3 linked regions of the Sus scrofa genome follow. The protein of the gene in region 3 purifies or fractionates together with the protein of the main gene of each other region. This does not show direct contact. Links are inferred from orthologs where the notes say so. Each region holds a gene or a part of one and is shown on either strand. Other genes may lie near its edges.

Evidence for each region. Proteins that work in one complex are often made in the same cells at the same time.
Region 1: the proteins of DYRK1B (region 3) and PTGES3 purify together in Homo sapiens (affinity purification with mass spectrometry; 3 studies listed by BioGRID and IntAct, with this or other methods). This does not show direct contact. The link is inferred for Sus scrofa from reciprocal best matches to the Homo sapiens genes DYRK1B and PTGES3.
Region 2: the proteins of DYRK1B (region 3) and DCAF7 purify together in Homo sapiens (affinity purification with mass spectrometry; 10 studies listed by BioGRID and IntAct, counting the BioPlex papers as one, with this or other methods). This does not show direct contact. The link is inferred for Sus scrofa from reciprocal best matches to the Homo sapiens genes DYRK1B and DCAF7.

The regions. Positions count from the first base shown.
Region 1 is NC_010447.5:22,016,420-22,024,417, reverse strand, and holds the start of PTGES3 (prostaglandin E synthase 3), read left to right. Parts: upstream 1-2,718; 5' UTR 2,719-3,075; coding exon 3,076-3,077; exon of another isoform or gene 3,078-3,609; intron 3,610-7,998. UniProt on the Homo sapiens protein: Cytosolic prostaglandin synthase that catalyzes the oxidoreduction of prostaglandin endoperoxide H2 (PGH2) to prostaglandin E2 (PGE2).
Region 2 is NC_010454.4:15,345,717-15,353,726, reverse strand, and holds the start of DCAF7 (DDB1- and CUL4-associated factor 7), read left to right. Parts: upstream 1-2,730; 5' UTR 2,731-2,982; coding exon 2,983-3,120; intron 3,121-8,010. UniProt on the Homo sapiens protein: Involved in craniofacial development. Acts upstream of the EDN1 pathway and is required for formation of the upper jaw equivalent, the palatoquadrate. The activity required for EDN1 pathway function differs between the first and second arches.
Region 3 is NC_010448.4:48,303,926-48,310,732, forward strand, and holds the end of DYRK1B (dual specificity tyrosine-phosphorylation-regulated kinase 1B), read right to left. Parts: coding exon 6,774-6,807; intron 6,400-6,773; coding exon 6,252-6,399; intron 5,240-6,251; coding exon 4,953-5,239; intron 4,216-4,952; coding exon 4,069-4,215; intron 3,989-4,068; coding exon 3,848-3,988; intron 3,547-3,847; coding exon 3,231-3,546; intron 2,859-3,230; coding exon 2,752-2,858; intron 2,657-2,751; coding exon 2,285-2,656; 3' UTR 1,912-2,284; downstream 1-1,911.

The sequences.
Region 1 (7,998 bases), on a different chromosome or scaffold from region 3:
CTGGGAGCACTGAGACACAGGTTCAATCCCTGGCTCAGCACAATGGGTTAAGGATCTGGCGTTGCTGCAGCTGTAGCCTAGATAGCAACAGAAGTTCAGATCTGATCCCTGGCCAGGGAACTCCATATACCTCAGAGAGGCCAAAAAAGGGGGGAAAAAAAAACCTGACAAATTGTTTCTTTGTTCCTTTTTATTAGTTTTTGAAATAGGCCTAGGAATTTCTCTCTCAGGAAACTGTTAAGATTAAATTTGTCTGGCGTTCCCACTGTGGATCTGTCATTAAGGATCTGTCATTGCCACAACTCTGGTGTAGGTTCCAGCTGCGGCTCAGATTTGATCCCTGGCCTGGGAACTTCCATATGCCGGAGTGCAGCCCCCCCCAAAAAAAATTAAAGTTGTGAAATGAATCTAATACCAAGTACTTTCTTTCTGCCAATTCAGGTGGCAGACTTCTCTCCCCAAAACCCTAACCATACATGTTTGAATCTAGATTTTGCTCCCTACTGGATACAGAACTTTTTGATGAATTTGAAAAAGAGATCTGATACAGTTAGCTCCCATCAGCTAATGGATGAGATTAAAGGCATGGATAAAACCAGATTACAAGTTATCTGTGAAACTTCTGAGGAGCCACTTCCAGAGCTACACTAACATGAAATCCTTTGAAATATATCCAATGGGAGTAGTAAATAAACTATAAATTATGATGCAATGGATTTGAATTTTCAGAAATTTCTTGTGTGAAAGGCAGTTTTTCTCACAGCACTTGATAGGGGAAATTGCCAGTTTTTTCAGGTTGCAGACTTTTAAATGCCTATCTTCAATTCAGTTCCATTTTCAGTTCATCTTATGTTGTTGCCAAATTAATCTTTTTAGAACACAAATGTTACTCCCATTCAAAAAAACTTCAATAGCTTCCCACTGTCATAGAAATAAGTCAAAAACAATTAGCCTGATAATTAGTGCCACCATTATTTATGACCTACCTTCCCTCTACACTCTGGATTACCTAGGTCAGAGATTGGTAAACTTTCTGCAACCACTAATCTTTGCATGGCCTTCAAGAATGATTTTTACATTTTTAAAGGGTTGAAAAAGAAAATCAGAGTTCCCATAGTGGCTCAGCAGAAACGAACCTGTCTAGTATCCATGAGGAAGCAGGTTCTATCCCTGGCCTCACTCAGTGGGTTAAGGATCTGGCGTTACTATGGCTGTGCTGTAGGCCGGGCAGCTGCAGCTCAGATTTCAACCTCTAGTCTGGGAACCTCCATATGCCGCGGGAGCAGCCCTAAAAAGAGGCTACCAGTGGAATTGGAGTTGTAGCTGCTGGCCTTCACCACACCACTGCAACTTGGGGTCTGAGCCTTGTCTGCAACCTACACCCCAGCTGACCGCAAAGCTGGATCCTTAACCCACTGAGCAAGGTCAAGGATCAAACTCGCATCCACATGGATCCTAATCCAGTTCGTTTCTGCTGAGCCAGGAAAGGAACTCCAGACTCAAACATCTTGATGTATTTTGTTTTCCGAAATAAGCAGTAGGCTCCTTAGAATGACAGTATTTTTTTTTTTTTTTTTTTTAAAGGGCTACGTGGGCAGTATATGGAAGCTGCCAGGCTAGGGGTCAAATCAGAGCTGTAGTTGCTGGCCTACCCACAGCCACAGCAAGGCCAGATCTGAGCCGCAATCTGCAACCTACACCACAGCTGATGGCAGCTCCCCACCCTTAACCCACTGAGGCTAAGGATCGAACCCGCATCCTCATGGATAATCCAGTTTGTTATTGCTGAGCCACAATGGAACTCCAGAATCACAGTATTTGAGAGCTGGGGTTTAACTTTCTTTAACAGGATTGGAGCCTAGGGTCCAATGTCTGTAGTTCCCAACACCTGCCTTGCATAGCATAGACACTAATTAATGCTGCATATGAAGCTTCCAAACACTCTCCAAAATGTCTTACGGCACTTTCCTTAAACCTCCTCTGTGTCCTAACAAGCAGCGTATTGATGTATTTCTCCCTTACTTCCCGGCTAAGCGATTTCTAGAGTGGACAAGTTACCATTTTGATTCTCTTGGTTAGTAACACCCATTAGCACCTAACCAGGTAACAGCTGAAAAAAGATGAGGTTTCCCCCCTCCCCTACAGGATCAGCCTGGAGACTCCAAGTGTCCTGGTCTCTCCATTCCCGCAAACTTAGACTCATTTAATAACTTTCCTCTCGCATCAAAGCAGGTGCGAATGCCGGTCAGCCAAAGACCTCGAATTTCCGCGGCCCCTGGACAGGTTCTCCACCCCTCAGAAAGACGGCGAGGAGGACCCAGGCCTGTGACTCAGGTTAGCCCTTTCCCTCAAATATCACCAGCGGAGGCTTTGCCCATCTTTTTGCCGTAGACTGTTTTCTCAGTGAGCCGATGTACTCCCTCAAGTAACCGATCCCCTATTTCACTTTTCAAGCCTCCAGACTCTGCGTCCATCCGCCTCGGCCTTCCTCCCTCGGTTAACGCGACAGTTTCTCGGGGAGATCGCCCAAGGCGCGTGGCAGGGCGGTTAGGCGACCAACGGTTTCCACCGCGAGGAGGGGGGAGCGGGCAAAGCGGCGGGAACCAGTCGAGCCGGAGGCAGCCGACGTGGGGCGGGGCCAGCCCCGGGAAGGATCGCGAAGGAGCTGGGAAGCCCCGCCCTTTCCGTAGATATCTCTAGAAAGCCGCGCAGGAGCCCGAAAACAAAGAGTGCGCACGCGCGGCGGCTGGGCCCGGGCATTTTGCTGCGTCACCAGCCGCCGCCCGGCCTCACCACCCCTCGCTCGCACGCACGCACGTTCATTCTCCGTTCTCGCGCCCCTTTTCCTACACTTTCCTTTTCTCCCCGACCGGAGGAGTCGCTCTGCCCGCGCGGTGCATTCTGGGAACCCAGGTCTAGCCCGCCGCGCCGCCGCCGTCGCTTGAGGGAAAAGCGAAAAGAGGCCGCAATCGGGGAGAGGACGCCAGAGTCGCCACCGGAGAGGAGTCGACTGCCTACCAGCTGCCGCCGGAGAGGCCCGCCCACCCGTTCGCCCGTCCCCTTGCCCCGTTCACGATGTGAGTGCGACACGCCACCCAGGGAAGGTCGCCCTGGAGGGAGGCCGAGGCCGCGCGGGGGGGTGCCGGGAAGCCATCCCTTCCCCTCCCCCGCTTTCGGCTCCCTCGGCTTTTTCCCCCTCGGTAGCATTCGTTCTTGCTTGGGGGTGGGAGGTCCAGTATCCTTGTTCCGGTTACCGTTGGCGGGTGGAGGACATTTTTCCTCCAGATGTCCGCTTCCCCCATCTCTAAACCTTCCCTTTGCTTCCCCGTGCCGGAAACCCCACTTTCCCCCTTCGGCAGTGAGGGCTGCTCCCAACTCTTCGTAACTTAGCCTTAGGCCTTAATCTCCTGTGAGCTTTTGGCCACGCGGGCGCCTCGGAGGCGTGGACCCTCGTGGGCTGCCACTCCGCTCCTAGCGACCTAGGTCTGCTTCTGCCGCTGTGTGATGCTGGGACCAGGCCCGGGGACAAGTGCACCTGCGGTGGGTCCTACCCCACAGCTGCTGGTGCTCTTCGTAAGGCACCACGCGGCCCTCCACTGCGAGCGACAGGTACTGCTAGGCAACTGGAGGGAGGGAGGCCATGCTGTCGCCGCAACTTACTTCCCTCTCGGTGTCGTGATTGCCAGAGTATGGGTGTTTCCAGGCTTCTTCTTAACTCAGTCTCGCGAAGGGAGTGGAGGTTGCCAAAACTCAGCCGTTTCCCTGGTAGCGAGGCTTTACAATTGAGCAGGGAGTTCTGCACTTGTTAGAGTTGAAAGATACTTAGGGATATTTTCTGTGAAACTTTAGGTGAGGTTTCGTTATCCTATTTTAATTTAAGGATGAAACAGGTAGGTAATTGCCTTTTTGTTGCCTTAAGTTTGTTTACGTGGGGGTAATTTCAGATCTTTTAAAAGTCTTAGTTTTATGATAAAGGAAAACATTTTAACCGAGTGCGGTCTCTTGCATTGCCATTCCCAGCTTTACATTCTTTTCAGGAAAAGCCTTACCTTTTCAGATGTGAGAACTGCCTATTTTACAGTTTTTTGGTACCACGTACTCCTGAAAGTTACCTATGGAGATCAATTGAGGGGAAGAATTTTTATTTCTATAAAAAGTAATGGATTTTCAAGGGTTTACCTAGTAAAATGGTGATATTTGTGGTGAGTATATTGAATTAGATGTCTAAATGAATAAGGATACACTGTAGCCAATTGATGGAGAAGAAGGTTTGAGAAGAATGCATGTATTACTGTAAAATGACATGTTAGAATTTTGGAAGGATTTCCCCCATCCCAAGAAGTGGTATGTAATAGAAGACTTTAATCTGTGTAAAAGAACTTGTACTTTTCTTTTTGAAATTTCTATTCCAAATAATGTAGCAGGATTGTCATTTGTGAGAAAATGAATCTGGAGATAAAGCATTACCAACTTTTAGTAAACTAATGTAGCGGAACAAGAAATATCTTTATATGAAGAGATAACATGTTTAATACGGTTTGAAGTAGAAACACTTTTCAGAGATCATGTAGAATTGGTAAATAGGTAAGAAATGTTAAGTTATATAAAGAACTCAATGAAAAGTCTAACAATCAGTATTCCAAAAAGCAATCTATAATTAGAAGAATGCTATTTTGAAAATGAGTGTTTTGAAGAGACCAGGTAAATTTTACTCTGTTTAGTCAATATATGACATCTTGCAAATTCTTTAGGGGATCTTATTAATTAATGACTGAATGAATTTACAAGATGAATATTACCAGTCAGTTACTTGAGCTGGAGAAGACTTTTATTTTTGTTGTTGTCTTTTCTAGGGCCGCACCCCAAGCATATAGAGGTTCACAGGCTAGGGGCCTAATTAGAGCTGTAGCTGCCAGCCTACATCAGGGCCACAGCAACTCGGGATCTGAGCTGCGTCTGCACCCTACACCACAGCTCACAGCAACGCTGGATCCTTAACCCACTGAGCAAGGCCAGGGATTGAACCCGCAACCTCATGGTTCCTAGTCTCGGGTTCGTTAACCACTGAGCTACAGCGGGGACTCCGGAAAAGACTTCTAATGGGTCATCCAGCTCTAGAGAGAATCTGGCTGATGAAGATTCATTTTGTTGGGTTCTATAAACTTTTTTTTTAGCTGTGGAGAGACTTTTTGCTTTTTAAGGCTGCACCTGTGGCATCTGGAGGTTACCAGGCTAGGGGTTGAATCAGTTACAGATGCTGGCCTACGCCACAGCCATAGCAAATGCCAGGCCTGAGCCTGGTCTGCTGCCTACACCACACAGCTCATGGCAATGCCATGTCCTTAACCCACTGAGTGAGGCCAGGGATCGAATCTGCAACCTCATGGTTCCTAGTCGGATTCGTTTCTCCTGGGCAAGGCTGGGAACTCCTGGAGAGACTTTTATGCTGGACATCTTGAAGGTTTTAGAGTGTATTTTTTTATCATGTGATTGCTCTTCAGTCATGATTTTCTAGGTAGATTTCTTTTAATCAAGTTTTTAAGTTTTGTCCAATAGTTTGCATAAAAGCTCTCTCAACTGGAGAAGGCTGGGATTTTAGGACTGCTCCTTTTAAGACCAGCTCAAATCCCCTGCAGGGGGTGCTACTTTATCTCCTTTCTTTTTTTTTTTTTTTTTAGTTATTTTAACTCTAATTTTAGGTTGGACCTATTTATCTAATAACACGAGATGTAAGATAAAATGGTTATGAGCTATTTGAGGTCATTCTTTTTGGTATCTTGTACTTAAAGTAACGAATGGTCAGAGACAAACAGCATCGCTGGCATTGGTTAAAATCTTACTTTGCTTTACTAAGTGAAGTAAGTCAGAAAGAGAAAGTCAAATACCATATAATATCACTTATATCTGGAATCTAATATATAGCATAAACGAACCTGTCCACAGAAAAGAAAATCATGGACAGGGAGAACAAACTTGTGGTTGCCAAGGGGGAGGGATTGGGATAGACTGGGAATTTGGGGTTAATAGATGCAAACTATTGCCTTTGGAATGGATAAGCAATGAGATCTTGCTGTATAGCATTGGGAAATGTAGCTAGTCACTTATGATAGAGCGTGATAATGTGAGAAATGAACATGTATACATGGATGTGTGGCTGGGTCACCTTACTGTAGAGTAGAATATTGACAGAACACTGTAAACCAGCTGTAATGAAAGGAAAAAAAAAACTTTGAGATAGGAGTTCCTGTCGTGGCACAGTGGTTGCGGGTTTGGTCCCTGGCCTTGCTCAGTGGTTAAGGATCTGGTGTTGCTGCGAGCTGTGGTGTAGGTTGCAGACGTGGCTTGGATCCCATGTGGCTGTGGCTGTGGCGTAGGCTGGTGGCTATATCTCTGATTAGACCCCTAGCCTGGGAACCTCCGTATGCCTCAGGTACAGCCCTAGAAAAGGCCAGAAAAAAAAATTTTTTTTGAGATGTATAAAAGATGAGTGAAACTAGTCTTAAAGAATCTTTTACTTGTTAGAAATGTTTAGTTTTTCCTGAATGTAGGGGATGCATAATGCCATTATTAAAGCTCTAGTAGTCTTCTGACTACTATTCTTAGAGTTTAGGAGTTCCCACTGTGGGTTAAGAAAAACAATAAATTCATAAAGGGACTATTGTTGATAACTTCTGAATATAGTATATGAGGTTGTATACTATTAGAGAATATCGTAATGTAGACATTAAGGACATAATTATAGATCAGGTATCTTTCAGAGTACTGATAACTAAAAAACATAATGATTCATTACATATTTATATGTTAAGAAAGATAATCCAGGAGTTCCTGTTGCACAGAGGTAATAAACCTGACTAGTATCCATAAGGACACGAGTTCAATCACTGGCCTAGCTCAGTGGGTTAAGGATCCAGCTTTGCCATGAGCTGTGGCATAGGTTGCAGGTGTGGTTTGGATCCCAAGTTGCTGTGGTGTAGGCCAGCAACTATAGCTCCAATTTGACCCCTAGCCTGGAAACTTTCAAATGCCACAAAAAGAAGCCCCAAAAAAGGAGATAAGCCTTGGAGTTCCCGTTGTGTCTCAGTGGATTAACCTGACTGTTATCCGTGAGGATGCAGGCTTAATTCCACTTGCTCAGTGAATTAAGGATCCAGCATTGCTGTGAGCTGTGGTGTGGGCTGGCAGCTGCAGCTCTGCATCAAGTCCTAGCCTGGGAACTTCTTATGCTGTGGTGATGCCCTAAAAAGAAAAAAATGAAAAGCCATGGCTAGCAGTGGATCTGATCCTTTTATGCCAGTGTTCCTTTAGGAGAAGAATTTGGGGCTGAATTTCATACATCTTGAATGTAAGCTTAAGGGCAGAAATTTTTTTTATCTGCCTTTTTTGCTGTTGCCCTGCAGCATATGGAGTTCTGGGGCCAGGGATCAGATCCCAGTCACAGTTGCAGTATTGGATCCCTTAACCCACTGTGCTAGGCAGAGGATCAAACTTCTGTCCTTTAACTGTAGAGACGACACTGTGGTAACTCCTTATCTGCTTTGTTGACAGTTGTAGATCCAGAATAGTTTTCTGGCAACATGTTCAATAAGTATTTGTTTATTGAATAAAGTTCAAAGTCTAAATCTCTGAACAAATACAGTAAGGCTTGTCTGCATGAGGTGCTTGATGGTAAGGGTTTGGACTAACTGGGATCTTCTATGGTTTGTAGATTCAATTATATCTGATAGATTGGAAAGTAGATTGGTGGTCGGTAGTTGAAAGATAAAGGTGGTGAGTCATCTATAAATCAGATTTCAGATTTTAGATTCTATTAATGGAGGTTTTGCTATATTCTGAGAAATCAGGAAAAGGACCACCAAGTCAAAACATAACTTCAAGGTACATTTGACTTGGTGAGCTGTTTATTTTGGGAATATTTAGCATATTGGTTATGTTTTGGTCAGACTGATATTTCTCTCTTCTTTTTTTCCTTTTTTGGTCCAACCCGTGGCATATGGA
Region 2 (8,010 bases), on a different chromosome or scaffold from region 3:
CTGGGGTGAAGGGAAGCAGAGCAGTGCCGGCTTGGTGGCCATAGGGAATCGTGACCACAGCCAGCACTTTTAAGGCACTCACTCTGTGTTTGTGGGCACCAGGCTGACTGTGCTGCAGATACGAGTTCATCAACTCTTTATAACAACCTTACAGGGCCGGTATTATCATCCCCAGTTTAGAGGTGATGAATCTGAAGCAGAGAGAGACTAAGAACTTTACCCAAGCAAGAGGGGGAACTTTTTGGGGGTTGTTCTGTTCCTGACCTAATTGCTGATTACATGACTGCGTCTCAGGTTGTAAAAATATGTACAGTTTCTATGTGTAAATTATACTTTGATTTAAAATAGAGTATTTTCCAAAAATATAGGCAAAGGAGACATAATTTCAACCCAGATGGTCTTGTTTGAGAACACATGCAGTTAAGTATCCCACTGAAATGGACTGTTGTCAAAAAGTCACTGGTCCTGTCCTTTTTCAGTACTCCCTAAAAAAATTTTGAAAATGTATCCCCCAGCCCACATTTTTAGTTAACATCTGAAGTATTTTACTGATGTGCTTAAAGGGTTGCAAAGGACATAATTTACAGAGTATTGTAAATATTGACTTTTTATAACATGTTTAATTTATATTGCTTTATTTCAATCCCAGTAACAGTGATTAAGAAGCCAAAATCATTCATTTTAAAAACAGAACAAGCTCTTCTTTAACGTCGTTCCTTTTTTTGTACTCATCATTTCACTCTATTCCATCCGCAGTTTATCCAACATGTAATTTATTTCCATGCTTGAAAGTCTACTACTAATAACCTTATCATATCTACTTGTAACACATATATATAAATTGAAATTTTAAAATTGTTTCTAACCTAAGACTTTAAGGGTTACACTTATTAGTACTGAGTTGTTCAAAACAACATAAATATCTCTATTTAAATTTATTTATTTATTTATTTTTGGTCTTTCTGCCTTTTCTAGGGCCGCTCCTGTGGCATATGGAGGTTCCCAGGCTAGGGGTCTCATCAGAGATGTAGCCGCCGGCCTACACCAGAGCCACAGCAACTCAGGATCCGAGCCATGTCTGCGACCTACACCACAGCTCACGGCAACGCCCGATCCTTAACCCACTGAGCAAGGCCAGGGATAGAACCCGCAACCTCATGGTTCCTAGTCGGATTCGTTAACCACTGAGCCACAACGGGAACTCTTCTCTATTTAAATTTTTATAGAAACTAAAATTTTACTGGAAATACAGCTCTTAAGAGAGGGTATTTTCCTCTCAATTAGTCCATGTATGTGAATGAATATTATTTTTTTATTAGAGGAAGACATAAACACAGAAAACTTGTTCACCTACGGAAGTGGATAGGACTGTGAGGAGTTTGTTACATTAAACAGTGTCACTCAGTCACTCAATTCTTTGAATTCTTTCTTTTTTTTTTTTTGGCCACCTGGAAGCACATGGATATGGAGTTCCCTAGCCAGGGATCAGATCCCAGCTGCGGTTGCCGTCTACACTGCAGCTGTGGCAACCCTGGATCCTTAACCCACTGTGTGGGGCTGGTGATCAAACGTGCGTCCTTCTTTCTGAGTTTTCTGTTAACAATCACTTTTATCACTAAAAACTATATATATATAGTCTTTTTAAGGTCACATGTGCCCTAACTATTGAGGTTCCCACGATAAGGATCGAATCAGAGCTGTAGCCGCTGGCCTACACCACAGCTCATGGCAATGTCGGATCCTTAACCCACTGAGCGAGGGCAGGGATCGAACCTGCGTCCTCATGGATACTAGTCAGATTTGTTTCCATTGAGCCACAACAGGAACTCCACTAAATACTATATTTAATGATATATTATCTAACAATTCAATACAATTTTTTGCTTAGTTTTGTTGAAAGCAAATTATTGGAAACCATTTAAATTATAAAGAGATGTTACCTAGATTCTGACCCTTCCCCATTTCAAATTCAAGACACTTATATATTTAAGGCTAGATTAGCATTTGCCTTGGGACGCTCGTGGGAAAAGATGGAAACAGAAGCTGACAGCCACGCTGGCGGGGTTGCTGCCTGCTGAAGACCAATCCTCTAATTCCAAGCACTTCTAGAATGGCCAGGAAAGGTTGACTGAAGCTGGCCTGGTCCTGAGTAGAGCGGCGTGTCCGCCGTCTGCCCTTGGTACGCTGGGAGAACAACATTCCAATTTAAAGGAGGCGTTGGCGAAGCAGGGAAATAAAGGGGTTTCCCTTCGGCGCAGGCCCGTCCGCAAGGCCCGGGAGCTCAGTGCCGCGAAACGCAGCAGGCCCTCTCGTAAGGCAGACTTTTCATTTTCACTCGCCAACGTGGAGAATCCGGTCAGAATAGCAGCTGCAGTGGGGAAGTCAGAGCAGTCACGTAAGAGGTTTCACTCTCAGAGACTTGGCCTAGAACTTGGAGGCCTGCTGCACAGTACGCGAGCTTTTAAGCCGCCCACACCCCGATTCACCCGCACTGCGCCGTTATCTCTCTGACTGACATCTTTGTCAGCCAATGACCTTTGTGGCTGTGAAAGCGCCTGCCCCCTGGAGTTGGGCAGAGCAAGTAATCGGAATGACAACCATACGCACCAATAGCAAGGAGGTTTCAGAAGCTACGGGTACACTAGCCAATGAGGAGAAGGAGCCGTTCGAAAGGACGTGTCAGGTAGCCAACGGCCGGCGCCGCTGAGGGGGTCGCGTGGCTTCCGTTCTAGAGGGTGGGGCGGGGTCTCAAACGGAAGGTGGTTGTTGTCCGAGCCGAAGCAGGTTTGAAAGTGGGGGTCGGGCTCGGCTGTCGTTGTCTGTAGCAGCGGCCCCGCTTCCGGGCTAGGCTGTCCGTACCCGCCCCCGCCCCGCCTCCCTTCGGACCCCTCCGTCCCAGGCCTGACTCCCTGCCCGATTCGCGCCCCGCCCGCCGCAGCTCGCTGCCGTCCCGGCCCGCACTGCGGCCCCGCCGCCGCCACTATGTCCCTGCACGGCAAACGGAAGGAGATCTACAAGTATGAAGCGCCCTGGACCGTCTACGCCATGAACTGGAGCGTGCGGCCCGACAAGCGCTTTCGCCTGGCGCTGGGCAGCTTCGTGGAGGAGTACAACAACAAGGTGGGCCGGGCAGGGGCTCGGAACCCAGCTAGAGGGACGCGGGCACCTGGAGCGCCCTTTCCCGGCCGGAGCTCAGACCCCAGGACCCTCCTGCGGACCTGCCTTAGCGCCACGGAGCGGTTCCTCTGTGTCTGGCCCTGTGCAGAGGGTTTCGCTCTCGTCTCATTTAATCCTTGCAGCATTCCTGGGTAGTCAGGAGTGTAGTTACCCGCATTTTACCGATGGGGGAACTGAGGCACCGTGTTGTGACTTGCCCCAGTCAGACAGCTATTGCGTGACGGAAACAGGTCTCAAACCCAAGTTTGCAGCGCAGAGCTGTGCCGTTTATCACGCCTATCCCCTCCTCTCCTGCAGCTTCAGTTGGGGGGCGGAGGAGGGATGAGGGAGTGATGGCTGCGAAGAAGATGCTGGAGCCCCGTGGTCCTTCTCCCCTGGCCACACTAGATTTCTATTAGGACTGTTTAGCAGGTTTCACCGCCCCCTGTTCCCTGGATTTCCCCAGCCTTTCTGCCGGGATTGCCATTGCTATTGCTGCCTCATATTCGTCCTCTTCAAAGCTATCTCTTTTTGGAAATCTTGCCAATGGCTATTGTCTTCTGCATAGAAAAGGGTGATGCTTGCCATTTGTTTTCTTGGCATCTTTCATGCTGATACAGACAAGTAACCTGGAGTAGAAGTAAGTCTTTCTGGACATCCACAATTTGAGAATCCTTTTTAGAAGCGCGGTTAATAGGAGGAAGCTTGAAGCTGGCAGTGACACATAAATTTAGTTTTGGAAGTTGAATAAGTTAGTGGAAAGAATTTTCTTTCCATTACTCCGTAGTTTGCCATTTATTGTATTAGAGTAAGCGTTGTGATTGACTGATAGTGATCAGAGCAACTGAGAGCCATGCTTAGTGGTGTTTAAAACCTGTACACCTGCTTGACACCAGGAACAGTCTAATTTAAGAATAAATTGTGGGCAGAGGCATGGTGCAGGGGAAAAGGCCAGGTGCTCTAGGATTAGGCCTTGTCTAGTCCACTGATTAGCTGTGGGACACTGCATAGGTAAGTTTTATTATTTCTGACCCACAGTTTGTTGTAGGAAAGAAGTCCTTTAGAAAACATTTGAGCATTGTAATTTTGTTTGCAGGTTTTCAGGAGCACATCTTAGAATTAGATCTTAAGGAGTTCTGGTTGTGGCTCAGCAGTGACGACCCGACTAGGATCCATGAGGAGGCTGGTTGGATCCCTGGCCTTGGTCAGTGGGTTAAGGGTCTGGCGTTGCCAGGAGCTGTGGTGTAGGTCACAGACACAGCTTGGATCCCAAGTTGCTAGAGCTGTGGTGTAGGCCGGCAGCTGCAGCTCCAATTTGACCCCTGGCCTGGGAACTTCCATATGCTGTATGTATGCCTTCCCTCCCCCCAAAAAAATTAGGTCTTAAATTTTTTGTAATCCTTTTTGAGAAATTGATGAGAACAATGGACTCTTGTTGCCCAGACATCCCACATACACACTTTACAAACAAATCCCTGAAAGTATGCACTGATCTCGGAGTCCACGATTTCCCACAGAAACCAGAGAGTCCTGAAAAGACATAGCTTTATTTTTCTTCTGGAGCCTCTTTCTTCCTTATGGCACATAGTGGACCGCAGAGCTGCTAAAGTGAAATTCAGGGTCCTGATGTGTAAACTGAATTAGTAAAGTTGAGAGCACTAGAACTGTTGTTTAAGAATACATGTTTAAACAAAGGGGGGGTGGTAGTAAAATACATCTTTCAAAGGGCTTGAGTCTTTTCACACAGACGGATGGATTTTTTTTTCTTGCAAGGTCAATTTAGGTAAGCAGTAGCAGCCCCATTTCTAAGAGATGAGAAACCAAGCCACAGTTAGGCTGCTGGTAGAATCAGTGGAGTAATTGGTGTCAAACTTTGGTTGCAGGAACTCTGCCCCCAAATTTATCCTTTCAATTATGGAGCTCCTTCTTTGTGCCAGGCACGCAGGCAGTGTGGTTTTAGTCGTAAAATGCTAATTGATAATCCCAGTAGTAATAGAATAAGCAGTTACCTCTGTCTTAACTCACTTGCGTAATGTGGGCAACGTGGTGTCTTAAAATGGTTTTTGTGTCCCCTGCCCCAGGTCAGAGTTCTTGTGTGTGTATATGTGTTTGATGGACAGCTTTGGCAGTCGGAAGCCAATAGACCTCTGTTCATAATTATGTTTTCAAATGCATAAAATACATGGGATTACAAAGGAAACCAACCATATGACTCATAGTTACTAAAAACATTTTTTGGAGTTTTCTCATGGTGCAGCGGGTTAAGGATCCGGTGTCGTCACTGCATCGCCTTGAGTTGCTGCTATGGCTCTGGTTCAATCTGATCCCTGGCCCTAGAACTTTCGAGTGCCGTGAGCATAGCAAAAGGCAAAACTATTTATTTTTTTTAGAAGTAGGTTAGAAGAGGTTTAGTGAATATACTGCTAAGGGAAGCAGTGGGCAGGAGAGCTTGTCTGTCCTGGGCTAGTGGTTTGGGCTCTTTTTATTAAGGGAACTGGCTTCTGACTGTCCTGTCTCAGTTTCCCCCATGTAAATAAGGGATTGAAACATGGCAGTTCTGAAAAAAAATTTTTTTTAAGTGGTAATGCGTACTTTTAAATTAACTCATTAAATCACATCAACCATTTTAATCATTAATTTTGAAGTACCCATAAGGGTAAACAGCATCTCAGTATATTCACTGTAATGTGATAGGAAAAACATCGGTGATTTCTATTGGTGACAAATCAGATATGGATGCTGCTGTGAGTAGCTGCCTCCATTTATAATGGAAGGAAATGCTACATTTCAGCTAGAGGTTGTGAAAATATAAAAGTGATTTTCCAACTCATCTTCGTCAACATTAAGATGAGAAACCCCGCTGTAGAGGATTTGTGTGTAGGAGCTGGTGGCCAGTAAATCTCACTTTATCAAGCTCAGTTTTGGAGAAACTTTGCCAAGAAGGTGCAAGAGTTCATAATTTAGAGGAATTTAAAAATTATTGGTTAGGAGTTCCCCTCGTGGTACAGTGGAAACGAATCCAACTAGGAACCATGAGGTTGTGGGTTGGATCCCTGGCCTTGCTCAGTGGGTTAAGGATCTGGCTTTGCCGTGAGACGTGGTATAGATTGCAGAGGTGGCTCGGATCTGGCGTTGCTGTGGCTTTGGCATAGGCCGGTGGCTACAGCTCCAATTGGACCCCTAGCCTGATACAGCCCTAAAAAGACCAAAAAAAAAAAAAAAAGTAAAAATTATTGGTTAAAATTCTCAAACCTTGGAGTTCCTGTTGTGGCTCAAGGGTAACAAATCTGGCTAGTATCCGCGAGGACTTGGGTTCTATCCCTGGCCTCACTCAGGCAGGGGGTTAAGGATCTGGCATTGCCATGAGCTGTGGTGTAGGTCTCAGATGCGGCTCAGATCCTGTTACTGTGGCTGTGGTGTAGGCTAGCATCTACAGCTCCGATTCAACCCCTCGCCTGGGGACCTCCATATGCTGCAGGTTCGGCCCTAAAAAGACCAGAAAAAAAAAGGAGTTCCTGTCGTGGTGCAGTGGTTAACAAATCCGACTAGGAACCATGAGGTTGCGGGTTTGATTCCTGGCCTTGCTCAGTGGGTTAAGGATCCAGCGTTGCCATGAGCTGTGGTGTAGGTCGCAGACGTGGCTTGGATCCCGTGTTGCTGTGGCTCTGGTGTAGGGCGGTGGCTACAGTTCCAATTAGACCCCTAGCCTGGGGACCTCCATATGCCACGGGAAGTGGCCCTAGAAAAGGCAAAAAAAAAAAAAAAAATTATATTACTCTTTTCCTGTAGTGAAATTATTTGCAGTTGGATAGAATTAAAAATGTTAGCATTTCAAGAACAACTTGACTTCCAGGTGTTATATCATCTGAATACATTTGGGAATTGTTGCAAAGAAAAGAATTAGATTCTATCAACTACACCTGGAATAAAGAGTCCCACTCTTGGTAATTGTGTTTTCTGTCCTTTTTTTTGTGGTCTCGGCTGGGGATTAGAACAGCACTGGTGTTGGAGCAGTGGTTTTCTAAATTTTAGTGGGTCCTCTGAGAGACTTGCACATTCCTGGGCTTCACTCCTGACGTTCACAGACACGCAGGTGATTCAGACACAGGTGGTCCCAGGGGCCCTCTAAGACCATCACCCTGGAGTTACCTTCGCATCTCTGACCAAAGGCGGGAATGCTTTTTGCATCTTCATGAGCCCAACATTGATTCTGCCCTTCTGGCCCATGGAAAAGCTCAGTTACCAGAGGGCCCCTTTGAGGTAGCCTGAGTTGAAATTTTGGTCCTACCAGTTTTCAGTTTTGTGTGGCCTTGGGCAAGTGAAACTCTGTGCCTCAGTTTCCTCATCTGTAAAAGGAGGGTTCTAAGGAAGGTCAAATGAGTTCCTCTATGTAATGGAGTTAGGAACTCTGCCTGGCACATAGGAAGCGATTTAGCAGTGTTAGCTGTTTCTACTTAAACGTCTTCGCTGCTGAACCCGTAGTTGAGATATCACCAAGGAGCATTATATGGGTATTAGGTAAATTTGACTTTTGTATTTTCCAGAGAGAGAGATCAGGGCCGTATGTCAGAAAGTTACCTCAAAAGGTCATTATATTTGGAGTTCCCTTCGTGGCTCAACAGTTAACGAACCCGACTAGGATCCATGAGGATGCGGGTTCTATCCCTGGCCTCGCTCAGTGGGTTAAGGATCCAGCGTTGCCAAGGAGCTGTGGTATAGGTCTCAGAAGCGGCTTTGGATCCCGAGTTGTGGCTGTGGTATAGGCTGGCAGCTACAGCTGCAATTCGACCCCTAGCCTGGGAACTTGCATATGCCAAGGGTGTGGCCCTAAAATAGCAAAACAAACAAACAAAC
Region 3 (6,807 bases):
ATTCTCAAGATAATTGGAAATATCTGAGAAGAGAAATTAACAGCTATATTGTCTGGGCTACAAATATAAATTGGGAGTATGCATTTCCATGCTTACCACAAATTCCTTAAGGACCGACAAGATTTGACTCCTGCTGATGTCGTGAGGCTCATCTTGCACCTTGCTAAGTCAATGGTTCGCACACACACCCACCCACCCACCCCAAGCTCTCCACTTCCTAGCTATGTGATCTTGGGCAAGTTATTTAATTTTCTCTATTATCAGCAACCTCATTTGCAAAAGGGAGATCATAATAATACCTGCTTTCTAGAGCTGTTCATTCCAAAAATTGTATTAAGCATTTCCCATATGCCTGGCACTGTTCTACGTGGACAGATCCGTTTCCGCCTATCTTGGCCTCCCTCTCCCACACAGCCTGTCAACTCCGTCTCTCCCATCCACACTCATACTCCTCTCCCATCCCAGACCCCTGCCCTGGTCCATACCTGACATCTCTTGCCTAGGATCATGCCACAGCTGCCACTCTGAGCGCTCAGACCCTAGTTTCTTTCCCATCACTCTATTCCCTCAGGGCAGCAAATTGGGCTATGTCCCCTACTTTTTGGAAATCCGCTCGTGGCCCCTCACTGCCTTCAGGGCAAAGTTCCAGCTCTCTAAATGACCAAAATCTTCCACGATCTAATCACAAAGCACTTGCAAGATTTCCACCGACACCCAATCACCTGCAGTTCATTCACACACCAGGTGTTTTTCATTGCTGCCTCTGCGCGAGTCGTCCCACTGCATCACCGCCACCCCCAACATCCCTCCGTATCAGGTCTCAGACTGCTCCTCCTCGCCCAAGGTTTGCCTACCGGTTTCGGGCCTAGGTTCTCTCCGCATTCCACGCCGCCTCGGTTAGCGAACACATGCAGGGCTGTAACGGGGCCTTTACCCGTCTCCTACCGAAGGAAGCGGAGCTTCCCGCGAGTCAGGCCAGACAGAGCCGCTGGTGATATCCCGCAAGGTGGAGCCGCGTCAAGCCTCCGCGCTTACCTCCTGCTCCGCAAACGCTGAACTTGCAAGCTCCCGGGACACAAACCCACCTTCCGCACTCGAGACCTCAGCACTTGCGCAGTCAAGCCAAAACCACCCAATCACGGCCCTCTCCTCCTCGCTAGCTCACCTCAAGTATCCGGACCCCAGCTGCCGCTGACTCCGATTGGCTGCCTGAGAACCCGCCCCTAAGCAAGTTGGCGAAAAGCATTCTGGCCTTTGTAGTCCCGCAACGAAAACCGGGACAATATCGCCAAGCAGAATTCCTCTTCCCGGAAGCACCGCTCCCCAATGGTCAGGACGGTACCTTTTGAACCTGGCGGCTCTTAATTGGCGGGTCGGGAGAGTTTTCCAAATTATCATGGAAACAGGCCCACTTACCTGGAACCCCGGTAATTATCCCTTGGCCTGAGAACTCTCAAAACGTTTTGCTCCGTAATGATTCCAAAGGCCGGACGTGGGGGGGGGGGGCGTAAACTGCCTGTCAATCCCCAGGTGGCTCCAATCAGGCCGACCACAAGCACTCATCACCCACTAGACACCTGGCAAAAGCAGCCACGCCTGTGCCGACTCTGTGGAAGCCCTGGCTTTCTAGGGCAGAACCTGATGTTTCCCAGAGACAGGCCAGAGCTGGGCCTTTATCCTTCTTAGTTTACCCTAGATAAGGCAATGTGGGCTAGGATGCTTTCCAGGGTCTCTGTCTAGGATTCCACAGCCCCAGACCGCCTACAGCCCCAGGTCTGGCATCAGCACTGCTAACGTCCCCAGGGGACGCGTTCCACATGAGAAAGCTCTTCCAGCACCCCTTCCCCAAACACGTTCCCCATCACACCGCTGAGGGCTGGGTGAGGGGAGCCAAGGCCTTGCAAACGCTCAGGCGGGGCATGTGAGAAAGCTCTTTACTGGGGGGTACAGCGAGGAGGAGCAAGGCCATCTCCCCCTACCTGCCCCCACCCCCTCCTAGGGCCCTGGGGTGAGGGGACTCTCCCCCTCCCGCTGGACCACCACTGTCTTTGGTACAATAAATAGAAAACACAGGGGGAGAGGGGGCCAAGGGTCCAGTCCTTAGTGGGGAGGGTGCACCTGAACCCTTCTCCTTGACCCCCTGCCCCAGGCCCCAATCAGTGCAGGCCTCACCCACCCCGGCTGGGTAGCAGCAATTCCAGTCAAGGGGAAAGATGAGGATGGGAGCCCAGGGCCCCCAGATGGGGGGTATGGCTTCAGGAGGGGCCCCAGGGAGGGGGCAGGGTCATGAGCTGGCTGCCGTGCTCTGGGGTACACCACGGAGGCCCAAGCGAGGCCCCAGAGTGGCAGGGTCATCAGGGGGTGGGAGGGGTGGACGACCTCCTGTCATCCGAGTCCGGAGGGCTGAGGCAGCCGGGTGCTGGGGGGCAGGTGCCGGGTGAGGCGGGGAGCAGTCCGGAGGGCCTCCCACCAGGCTCACATCCATTAGCTCTGGGGGTGGTGGCGAGGTTGGTGATGGGGGACGACCAAGGCATCGGGGTTGGGGGGGTAACTGGGCCCCAGCCCCTGGCAGTGATGAGGCGGAGGCAGGGGCCTGATGTGTCTTGTGGGGCATATCACCCCCTGCCCAGGGGCGCAGCGGCTGGGAGGGTGGGACCTAAAGGAGCAAAGGAACAGTGGGTGATGGAGACCTAGGTCCTGAAGCCCCAGATACTCCACCACCCACCTCCAGAGTCCCCAAGGCCCCATTACCTGGGGGCTGTTCATCTCACAGTCAGTGATGGGGGGCCCAGGGCCCCCACAATATCGGTTGCTATAGCGGTAGGTCCGGTTGTCACTGGAGGAGCCACTGGAGCCTCCTGGAAGTGCCAGGGAAGGAGAGGAGAGGGCTTAGGCGAGGAGACGGGGCGGCTGGGTCTTCAGGTGGCAGAGTCTGGTTCACAGCCCAGGCTCAGGTCTAAGACTTTGGGGCGGTACCCACTGGGAGGATCAGGCCCAATTTTGAGACCAGGGGTCAGAGTTCAGTTTAGGGCATCAAAGAGTCAGAACTGAGCTCAGTTTGAGAGACCAGGTCAGGGCCAGTCTGAGCTCGCCTGCCCACCCCTTCTGGAGTTTCAGGGTCATGCAGTTTCAAAGCTCTAGGTGAAGGCTCAGTGGCAGGGCTGCCCAGATCAGCCCAAACCAGAGGTGCCCCCACCCCTGTTTTACCCCATCTGGCACTGAGCACCCACCAGAGCTGGAGATGGAGCTGGCGGTGCTGGAGGAGGGGCAGGTGTCAAGGGGCGCGGGCGACGTGGAGGCACTGCTGCCTGCCGGGCCCGTGTTGGTGGCCTCATCAGCCGTGCGGCGGAAGAAGCCATGCTGCAGAGCCCCCAGTGGGCTGATGCGGGCGGCGGGCTCATACTCCAGCATGCGCAGCACCAGGTCCTGGAAGCGGAGGTAGTCGGCGGGGCTGTGGCCCGGCTCCCCCGCCCGCCGGCCCCCGGGCCCGCCCGTCTGCACGCCCAGCACCTCCTGCAGCCGCCGTGTCCCGGGGCCCTGGTAATCCTGGCAGGGGGAGGTGGGAGGGGGGGCAAGAGAGTGGCCGTCAGTGGGCAGGAGGGGCAGGGAGACACACATGGGGAGACAGAGGCACAAGAGAGAAAGTAGAAAGAGAGAAGCTAAGAAGAGCTGTGGGGTGGGTAGGAGGAGAGATGGGGTGGGCGGGGGAGGAAGGAAAAGACAGGGCAGAGGAAGGAAGGGAAAGACACAAGGGAGAGGCAGCAGGGAGAGAGGGGGAGGGCGCCCCAAGTGTGAGAGAGTGAGGGGCCGCCGGGGTGGGAGGAGCGGCGTGGGGCAGGGGCCGCACCTTCCTGAGTTCCTTTGTCCTTCGCAGGGTCCAGCCACCCCCAGGCAGCCGCTCAAAGTACTTTCGAGCCTTGGGTGCCTGGTCCAGCATGGGGGCTGGTGGGATGCCCAGCACCTCCACAATGCGGTTCATCTGGTCCACCTGGGAGCAGGCGGGCAGTCAGGGTCATCAGCCAGCCAGGCCTCCACCCCCTCCAGCACACCCCCTCCTCGGGAGCACACCTCATTGGAGCCACTGAAGAGGGGCTCTCCGGTGTGCATCTCCACCAGGATGCAGCCCAGGGACCACATGTCAATGGCCAGGTCATAGGGTGTGCCCAGGAGCACCTCAGGCGAACGGTAGAAACGGCTCTGGATGTACTGGTAGATCTGGGGGAGGGGAAAGGGCAACAGTCAGAGGTCCCAGCCTTCCCTGTGGGTACCCCCGACACCCCCAAACCTAGGAGGACTGACTGTGCACAAGCCTCCTGCCTCCAGAACTGGGGATGGGGGTCTTCAAACCCTGATGTTTTCAGCACAACCTCCCAAGGATTGCTGCCACTACCTCACTCATCAGTTTCAGGAGTCTCTGCTGGCCTAGTCTGATCCCGATCTCCATCCCCTGGCCTGACCCTGAGCCCCTATGGGTCACCAGGATCCGGCAATCCGCAGACCTAGCCTCTTCCCACCCTTCCAATCCAGACCCTTTCAAACCACTACCAGCGTCTTCTCAAAGGCCTTCTCACCGGAAGCTGCAAAGCTGACGAGCCCTGTCCTCTTCCCTCCCCAGCTTTAAGAGCACAAGGTAAACAAACGGAGCAAAGTGCCACCCCAGGCTCAAAGGCACCCAACTCCTCCTCCCCCTCCCCCATTCTGGCAGCCTCAAAACTGGCCCCGGGCTTCGTCCTCTCGGGCTCCACTCTTCGCTGTCCTTCGGGCAGGACACCCCAAGGCCCTCTCCATCACCCTCTTCACCCAATGACCCCACCCTCTGTACTTGCAGACACCCTGTCCCAAGCACTACCCTCGGGCCGCTGCACGCGACCATCCAATCCCGTCCTGGTCCTCCGTCGGCCCCGCCCACTCTCTGGCCACACCCACACCTCTAGCCCCGCCCCGGGCCGCACCCGCTGGCCGAGCTGGCAGGAGCTGCCAAAGTCCACTATCTTGATGGCGCTGCGCTTGGGGTTGCAGAGCAGGATGTTCTCGGGCTTGAGGTCGCAGTGAATGATGCTGAGCTCAGGCGTGGCCAGGAAGAGCAGCGCCGTGCAGAGCTGCTGCGCCAGCTTCCGCGTCAGGTTCAGTGAGACGCCGCGGAAGTGCGTGTTGCGCAGGAGGTCGTACAGGTTGTAGGAAAGCAGCTCGAACACCAGGCACAGGTGGTTCCGGAACATGAAGTGCCGCTTCAGGTGCACTGTTGGCAAGGAGGCGAAAATGGGCCGAAGGAGAAGAAATTAAGGCTGAGAGAGGGCCGGTGGCGGCCTGGGGTACCCAATAATAAAGAGATCTTTGTCTCTGCTTCTGGAGCACAGGCCAAACTGTTCTGCTAGCCAGGATTTTATTTCATTTACTTATTTTTTTTGGTTGTGTCCATGGCAGGAGCAAGTTCCCTGGCCAGGGATCGAACCTGTGCCTGTGCCACAGCAGCGACCCGGTGGCTGCAGCGACAACGCTGAATGTTTCACCCGCTGAACCACCACGGAACCCCCTGGGAGGTTTTTTGTTTTGTTTCTTGAGGATGTTTTTATGTCTATAATCTGATTCACACAGGAAGTTAAGTTAGCTCGCTTTTCAAGTCTCTCACATTTTCTGATTTAAACCAAAGAGAAAGTTTCCATTCGGTGCTGATGGGTCTTTAACACCATCCCTACACTTCCCCGTTTAATTTTATAACATTGTTTTAGTCTCAGTTCTGTTTATTTTGTGACAAAGGATACTTGCTTTCCATTTACTGTAAGGAGGTGCATTTTCCTTTTAAAAGAAACACACTCCTTAAATCCACTTTCTTTTTCTTAAGAGGAAGCAGTACAGGAAAGAGGAAAAAACCCAGCAGAGGCGTTTAGAGTGGAGGCTCTGGAATCCACTGTCTGGCCAAATCATAGCTCTACTGAGTACAAACACCTCGATCTTACGCAAGTGACAGCACCTAAGTGCCTCTGTTTCTTCATCTCCAAGCTGTGGGCAATGATGCTCCTTCCCATGGGGCTGTGGAAAACTTACGTAAAGTTCTTACAACAGAGCCTGACCCTTAGAGAGCACCCAATAAACTTTGACCAGCTTTGTCATGTGAATAGGGTAAAAACTGTGAGGGTGGCAGGAGAAATCACTGATGTGGGGGATTACAAACCACACCTTGCCCTGAGGACAGCAGCCCCCTCGGGTACTGAGGGTGGCTCATCCCCACACAGCCCTGCGGCGGGCCTCACCTATGTAGTACTTCATCTCTGTGTCATGCTGGTTCATCAGCTCCAGCAGCCGCAGCTCGATCTGGGCCTGGTTCAGGAAGGCCTTTTTGTTCTTGATGATCTTGATGGCCACCAGCTCCTGCGTCTGATGGTCATAGGCCTTCACCACCTGCCAGGGCAGGGCGCGTCACAAGACGAGGGCAAAGGGGCGCGAGGCACAGAGCCAGGTACCACTCGTCGCCCTCCAGCCAAGGAGACCCACCCATACCACCATCAACGATACTAATACTTCCAAATTGCAAGCTCGCCAATCGTCAGACACTCGTGTCAACGCTGGACATGAGAAAACACAACAACCTTACGTGGAGGGCCTGTTACTGAGGCGCTCTTACAGAAACCGTGGCACAGGGAAACCAGACCGTGCTGGTGAGTGGCCCAGCACGAAACGCGAAGCCACTGAACCGCTGGCTGTGGGGGTCAGCACCAGTGGTGCCCGCTCCTCCCAAGCCCTGGAGCACGGCTGGGGTCGGGGTCATCCCACACCTGGCCAAAGGAGCCTTTGCCAATGAGGGAGTCG